2 linked regions of the Arabidopsis thaliana genome follow. The protein of the gene in region 1 interacts with the protein of each later gene in a pairwise test. Each region holds a gene or a part of one and is shown in the gene's direction. Other genes may lie near its edges. The genes, in order: RLK902 and PIP2A.

Region 1 (3,930 bases):
TCGAATATGGTAGCGAGAGGGAGCGCAAGTTGGTAGAGGAATTCTCGTCGCTCAGAAGATCTAGTAGTAGTACTGGACCTACTGGTACAATGCTATCCCAATCTAATTGAAACTCATAATTTTCAATACACAATGTTAAAATCTTATAATCCCCACTTGTAGAAACTCGTCAAGAGGAGCAGAGTTTTGGCTCAGAGCCCAGAAAAGAACCATCTTTGTGGCATAAAATGAAGAATTTCATAAGGTAATCTCATAGAAACCTTTTTCTCAGTAGTTCATCAAAAGACACAACATTGTTGTCTTGGTCTGATACATAGTTTTTAATGTCACGTGTTATATAGACCAGAAGATTCAAGAACGAAATTTGGGACTATGAGCTTAAACCCATCATTACCATTACGAAGAATGAAAGTGTCAGAGACTTCAATTGCTTTTTCAGTCTTGGCTCTGTGCGTTATAACCTCGGCTGTTGCATTGGTACAGAAGAAGGGTAATCGCTTGAAACAAAAGAAAGAAACTTAATTTCGTCAAAAACCCTGAAACCCCACAGGTAGAAGTTTAATTTCAAGTAACAGAGAGCTTTTTACAAGATTTAAAAGGCCCTCGGTCATACAATTCTAGTTTCTAGAGATTGTTTGTCACGCAGAAGAGATATGATCTTGTATGTATGTTTTATCATTTATATATGGTTAAGAGCCTAGTTGTGATATACAACGAAAGGAATGTTATTACTTGAACAAATGTTTATGTATGCTAGACCAGCTTAAACCGTGACAGAACTATGCTTTGAACTCAATTCAGTCCTCTTATTTACTTTGTTTGTCCCTCTCTCATTAGAGGAACCTTTTTAGGCAATCAAGAAAAGGTTTCCCATAATCCCATATCTATTAGTATAGTCTTTTATTGCTTAGTGGGTCTCAACACACAGCTACTATACTTAGTATTTACATTATGATGACTAACGTCTTTATCTTCCAAAGTAAAACAATAGTAAAGCCAGCTAGATAGTTAAAAACACAACTCAATAGTATACCTTTTGTTAAATGGCTTAAAAACAACTCAATATTCCAACTACCAAACTGTTTATCCACATGTGCGATCGAAAATAGATCCATTAAATTACTACACTTCATATAGTTTTACTCTTTTCTTCTAAAATGTAACGCCCAACCACATATCAATGTAACCGTCGTGAATCTTTTTTCATCTTTTATTGTAAATTATCCAAAATATGAATCACAATAATATTACCTTTGTGGACCATGAAATAATTTATTCGATGGATAGAAAAATTGGTAAGATAGTAAGATTAATGGGACCCTTTAGATTGATGCCGTTGATATGCAGAGAGTGGAGACAATAAAAAAACAGAGAATGCGTTACTTGTAAATAAAAGAGCCTACTTTGAATGCTGTTAAATTATTGTTGTTGGCTTTTTTACATGTTTATGGTCCTACCTTTCTCTGCATACCCATGTTCATTTTTTTCTTTTCTTTTACAACCATGCATTATCATACTACTATAGTAAGAAAAAATCAATTTTATTATTAAAGAAGCAAAACAAAAAAAAATACATAGAATTAAGTGTTATCTTGAGAAGAGTGATTCCACTTTACTCAGATGCAGGGAATTTCATAATCAAAACCTTTGTATTCCATTTCTCCATAAACACACACACCCACTTGCTAATTTTCTTGTTAATCCGATTGATTATTAAACTCTAAGTTTTTGTAATCCAGTTAATAATCTTTAGCAGTTGGAATTTAGATAAGACAACACAGCTTAGTGGTACGAATGATTCACATAAGATTCTATAATATCAATAAGTTAAAACATAAAAACCAATAATAGAAATTAAAAAAAAAAAAATACAAATATTTTTGTCGAAGCATATAAAGACATACGTCACTGTTGTATAGAAATTGTCGTTTTTGTCACATTTAGATTTTAATTTGAAAAAATTTCAAAACTCGAAAAAAACAAAAAGTGGAGAAAAAGAGAAAGAGAGAGTGTTAAGAGTGTTGACTAGCTTCACTCTTTCTCTGTAAACCACACACACAGCTTCTTCACTGAGAGCTTTTTTCTAGGGTTTCTCTCTTTGTTTCTTACAATGCGACTCTTCTTCACACCGTCAATGTCCAATCTCTCCATATTCTTCTCGATTCTTCTCCTTTCTCTTCCTCTTCCGTCAATCGGAGATCTCGCCGCCGACAAATCCGCTCTTCTCTCTTTTCGTTCCGCCGTCGGTGGTCGTACATTACTCTGGGACGTCAAGCAAACCTCACCATGCAACTGGACCGGCGTCTTATGCGACGGTGGTCGTGTTACTGCTCTTCGTCTTCCCGGTGAAACGCTCTCCGGTCATATACCGGAGGGTATTTTTGGTAATTTAACTCAGCTCCGGACGCTTAGTCTCCGTCTCAATGGTCTTACTGGTTCTCTTCCTTTGGATCTCGGAAGCTGCTCCGATCTTCGGCGTTTGTACCTGCAGGGTAACAGATTCTCCGGTGAGATTCCGGAGGTTTTGTTTAGTCTTAGTAACCTTGTTAGGTTGAATCTAGCTGAGAATGAATTTAGTGGAGAGATCTCGTCAGGGTTTAAAAACCTTACTAGGCTTAAGACTCTGTACCTGGAGAATAACAAGCTCTCTGGCTCTCTTTTAGACTTGGATTTGTCTTTGGATCAGTTCAACGTTTCTAATAACTTGTTGAACGGATCTATACCTAAGAGTTTGCAGAAGTTTGATTCTGATTCGTTTGTGGGAACTTCTCTCTGCGGCAAACCGCTTGTTGTCTGCTCTAATGAGGGAACTGTGCCAAGCCAGCCAATTTCTGTTGGCAATATTCCCGGAACTGTTGAAGGAAGTGAGGAGAAGAAGAAAAGGAAGAAGCTTTCTGGTGGAGCTATAGCTGGAATAGTGATTGGATGTGTGGTTGGTTTGTCCCTGATTGTTATGATTTTGATGGTTCTCTTTAGGAAAAAGGGGAACGAGAGAACAAGGGCCATTGACCTTGCAACCATCAAGCACCATGAAGTTGAAATTCCTGGCGAGAAAGCGGCCGTGGAAGCACCGGAGAATAGGAGCTATGTAAATGAGTACTCTCCGTCTGCAGTGAAAGCTGTGGAAGTGAACAGTTCAGGGATGAAGAAGTTAGTGTTTTTTGGGAATGCGACAAAGGTCTTCGATCTTGAGGATCTGTTGAGAGCTTCAGCGGAGGTTCTGGGGAAAGGAACGTTCGGGACAGCTTATAAAGCGGTGCTTGACGCGGTGACATTGGTGGCTGTGAAGAGACTGAAGGATGTAACGATGGCGGACAGAGAGTTTAAGGAGAAGATTGAGGTTGTTGGGGCGATGGATCATGAGAACTTGGTGCCCTTGAGAGCGTACTATTACAGTGGAGACGAGAAGCTGCTTGTCTATGACTTCATGCCTATGGGAAGCTTATCAGCTCTCTTACACGGTGAGAACTACCCCTCTCTTTCTTTCTCAGCGAAAAATTTGATTTTTATTGTTAATAGTTCTCTGCTGAATCTTAAGTTTGGCATAATTAGTAATGGATTCGTTAATATACATTACTGTTAAGAAAGAAATGACAAAGATTCTATCATGAAATGATTAGTTTGGTACTGCATCACATTGACAAGGATCAGTGAAGAGTTTTTATCATTCACATGGCTTACACAGGACGTCTATGAATTAGTGGGGACAGTAGATAACCTTGGATTCCTTGACTAGCTGTGATAATTGATCTTTTAGAATTGTATTTTGAACAAAGAAAAATCCAGACCTCCTGTGTTCTACTTTCAGACAGTAGTTTTTTTTGTGTATTGAGCTTAATGTCATGCTATGTTACAGGAAACAAAGGTGCAGGCCGGCCTCCATTGAACTGGGAAGTCAGATCAGGCATCGCCCTTGGAGCTGCTCGTGGC
Region 2 (3,930 bases), about 14 Mb from region 1:
TAAATATCATGTAAAGTATATATCCAATTGATTATCATTTGAATGCATATTAAATTATTAATTATGAAGACAGATAAATCAATATATGTTTGTTGATCTTGCTGTAGTACATTCTGGACTAATTCTTTCAATTGGAGTGACTAAAAAGGACAAAATTTATGCATAACGACGTCATACTATATGTAACTCGATTTGTCTAGAATATTTAGATAAGGTTAAGACTAGTTTTCTATGAATAGAAGAAAGTGTAAAATATATAAATAAACATACTAATAACAATTAACAACAGAACCAGAACCAGAAAATTCACATTTCTGTGCTTTTATTATCTAAAATTCACTTCGAAAAACATGAGAAAAAAGAGTTGGCTGACGTGGAATATTCGTCTAATAGTAGCCGACCAACGTAGCCAAAACGATAAGGTTTGCCACATGGCAAAACGATAACCATGGAACTGCATCTCCTGTCTTTTGTTTGGTTGTCACAATTTGTCATTTTTATTGGGATTTATTGTTTTGTTATATTTTCGTTTTCAGTCTAATTGTCAGCAATTTTCGCAAAAGATATGAAATTTTGGATATGAAGAGAAAATGCAAATGATTGGTGGGGACAACAAACGTGGCATTATGTGAGTGGTTGAGCGAACAAACGGCTATATGCTGAGATGGATTGGACGGTGACGATACGTTTGTCGGAGGGATCGGGTCGGTTAGTCACGCGCGCCACCCATTCACGTGTCACCTTTTGCCAACACAGACCATATGATTTTAACCTCAGTGGAATCTCGACCCACCCCACAAAACGGCACCATAACTTTACACCCTGGTTTTAGAGAGTGATATACCAACACAACAATTATGAAAAAGGGTTCGTTTAGGCTTTGGTTACTTTATGTTAGTAATATCAACTTAAATGCTAATTTGAGTTATGTGTGATAAGATATACGACGAATCAATTTACTTATCGTCAATTAAGTTTGAAATGAAAGTTTGTGAACGAAATAGTTTATGCTTCTTTAATATTGTGTCATAATTTTGAGTTCCGGCTCTAACATCTTCAAGTAGGGTTTTGTTTTATGACACCTCAAACATACTTAATAACATATGTTGGTGATAGAAAACTAGACCTTCTAGACTACAAAAATGTTTATAATGTAAGAGAATGACCATATATCTATCTATTTTGAAAACAAAGTGTTTTGACTTTGGTGAACAAGAAAAATGTTCTCTATATATACAATGAGACACTCGAATATAACCATGCATGATTAGTTGGATTTGGAGTGAAGAAACTTAGCCATGCTTCGTTGGAGCAAAATAAGGTTTTGGAGTTTTGTTATGTGTTTTCAAGAATGTAAATGCTGATTCGATAAAAAAAAAAAGTGGACGTAAGTTATTTTAAAATGATTTGGCATACAAAAACTGTGGCTTTTTAAATCTGAAAAATCGACAGGCTATGATATTATACGACAAAAAGAAGAGAGCACCATATTGATGATATAGTATATTGGGTCGGTCCTAAAGAAAATGACATTTAGGTGATGGGGGCGGCGAGGCTAAGTTAAAGTAAACAAAAAAAACCTCCATTATTTACCAGAAAAACATATAAAAATTTGATTGACATAAAAACTAATAAATTATTTCAAAGTTGTGGTTCTGATAGCTCTCCACCATCACCACTGATTGATACTTCCTATTGCTACGAGAGATAAAACTATGCAAGTTTATATGAGTGGATATAAAGTCTTGTTTTATGATATCATAAGCTAGCTAATCCCATATCATTATCATGTATTTATAGACGCATGTTCAATAGATTTGGATCAATCTTTTTGTCATGGACTTGGTGCAAACTATAACGTTAAATAGAATAAACTATTCTAATTTAGGATCTAAAATAAACTCGAATCAAATTTTAAAGAAATTTACTGGCTAACTTATTTGAATTTTTCAAATTTCAACGATTGAAAAACTCTAAGTCTGAAATTAAACTAGGGTTCTTGTCTTTACGTATTAGTAACTATGTATGATATTGATATATCAAGCAATCATTAAATAGAATTGGTTCAAAATTTATTTCAGGACAGCTAGTTCATAATCATTTTGTCAAAGCTACTTCCCTCATAATAATAATAATCATAACTCACTCGTATACTTTTATATCCAATTTTTTCATTGAAAATACAAACTTTCATTCCAAAAAAAAACCTCAATACACAAAAAACCAAAAAAACATATAACGTTGGCAAAAATACTAAAAATATTTTTTAAAAGATAAAGCAATAAAAAAGTATACAAACAAATTAACAAGAAGGAGAGCTCTCACTATAAAACAGAGCACATGTTCTTCTCACTAACCACTCCAACAGAGAAGCAAAAGAAAAAAAAGCTATTGTTTGAAAGAAGAAGAAGTTAACTATGGCAAAGGATGTGGAAGCCGTTCCCGGAGAAGGATTTCAGACAAGAGACTATCAAGATCCGCCACCAGCTCCGTTTATTGATGGAGCGGAGCTAAAGAAGTGGTCTTTCTACAGAGCAGTTATCGCAGAGTTCGTAGCCACTCTCCTCTTCTTATACATCACCGTTTTGACAGTCATCGGTTACAAGATTCAGTCCGATACTGATGCCGGTGGCGTAGATTGCGGCGGAGTTGGAATCCTCGGTATCGCTTGGGCCTTTGGTGGTATGATCTTCATCCTCGTCTACTGCACCGCCGGTATCTCTGGTATGATCCTTCTTTAATCTTGATTTTGGTTTGGTTTAGATTAAGATTATACACTTTTTGAGTATTAGAATTACAATTAAACCGAATAAGCTGAATAAGTTTTACTTATGTAAGTACAACTTGCAAACTCAAAATTTAGACAAGTAAAAATTATATGGTATGGTTTTGGTTTGTTTATTCGAAATTAATTATTTTGCAAGGAAAAATATTGCTTGGTTGACATTACTATTTAATCGGTTTAAAATCTTAGGTTTAAAAGACGAAAATGATTTGTTTATAAAACATTTAATAAGGGTCATGATCAAATCGGTTCTTATCCGAATGATATATATCTAATCTAAGCCTAGTAATTATTTTAAGCAACTGACTAACCCTGTCTTAACCAGAATTGAAACCGGTTAATTAATTGCTTGTTGTACCTTAATTCTCAAGTACTGGTAACATTGTCAACTCTTTTTGTTTCCTTAGGTGGTCACATTAACCCAGCGGTGACATTTGGGCTATTCTTGGCACGTAAAGTGTCGTTACCTAGGGCCCTATTGTACATAATCGCTCAGTGTTTGGGTGCGATTTGTGGAGTTGGTTTTGTCAAAGCCTTCCAAAGCTCTTACTACACCCGTTACGGAGGTGGAGCCAACTCTCTAGCCGATGGCTACAGCACAGGGACCGGTCTAGCCGCAGAGATCATTGGTACTTTCGTTCTTGTCTACACCGTCTTCTCTGCCACTGACCCCAAACGTAGTGCCAGAGACTCCCACGTTCCGGTGAGTCACATATGTAGTGCTATTAATCTTCAATATGGTTAACCGACTCAAAACCGGAACCAAAGCAAACCAAACCAACATTTGATTTCAATCATACTAATAAATTTGAATTTTGATGAAATAAAAGGTGTTGGCGCCACTTCCAATCGGATTTGCCGTGTTCATGGTACATTTGGCTACCATTCCCATTACCGGAACCGGAATTAACCCGGCAAGGAGTTTCGGAGCTGCCGTAATCTACAACAAGAGCAAGCCATGGGATGACCACGTAAGACCTCAACGTTTCTCCATTACATTCAACTATATTTTTCATTTTTACAAGGGAATAATGTTTTGAAATTTTGGTGATTACAAACAGTGGATATTTTGGGTTGGACCATTCATTGGAGCTGCGATAGCTGCATTCTACCACCAATTCGTTCTGAGAGCTTCAGGTTCTAAG

The links.
Region 2: the proteins of RLK902 (region 1) and PIP2A come close enough for resonance energy transfer, tested with the Arabidopsis thaliana proteins (one study listed by BioGRID).

The regions. Positions count from the first base shown.
Region 1 is NC_003074.8:6,103,982-6,107,911, forward strand, and holds the start of RLK902 (receptor-like kinase 902), read left to right. Parts: upstream 1-1,926; 5' UTR 1,927-2,110; coding exon 2,111-3,461; intron 3,462-3,856; coding exon 3,857-3,930. Other genes in the region: AT3G17830 (Molecular chaperone Hsp40/DnaJ family protein), read left to right, coding at 14-84, 163-244, 342-522.
Region 2 is NC_003074.8:19,803,942-19,807,871, reverse strand, and holds the start of PIP2A (plasma membrane intrinsic protein 2A), read left to right. Parts: upstream 1-2,141; 5' UTR 2,142-2,417; coding exon 2,418-2,724; intron 2,725-3,192; coding exon 3,193-3,488; intron 3,489-3,615; coding exon 3,616-3,756; intron 3,757-3,846; coding exon 3,847-3,930. UniProt on the Arabidopsis thaliana protein: Water channel required to facilitate the transport of water across cell membrane. Probably involved in root water uptake. Its function is impaired by Hg(2+).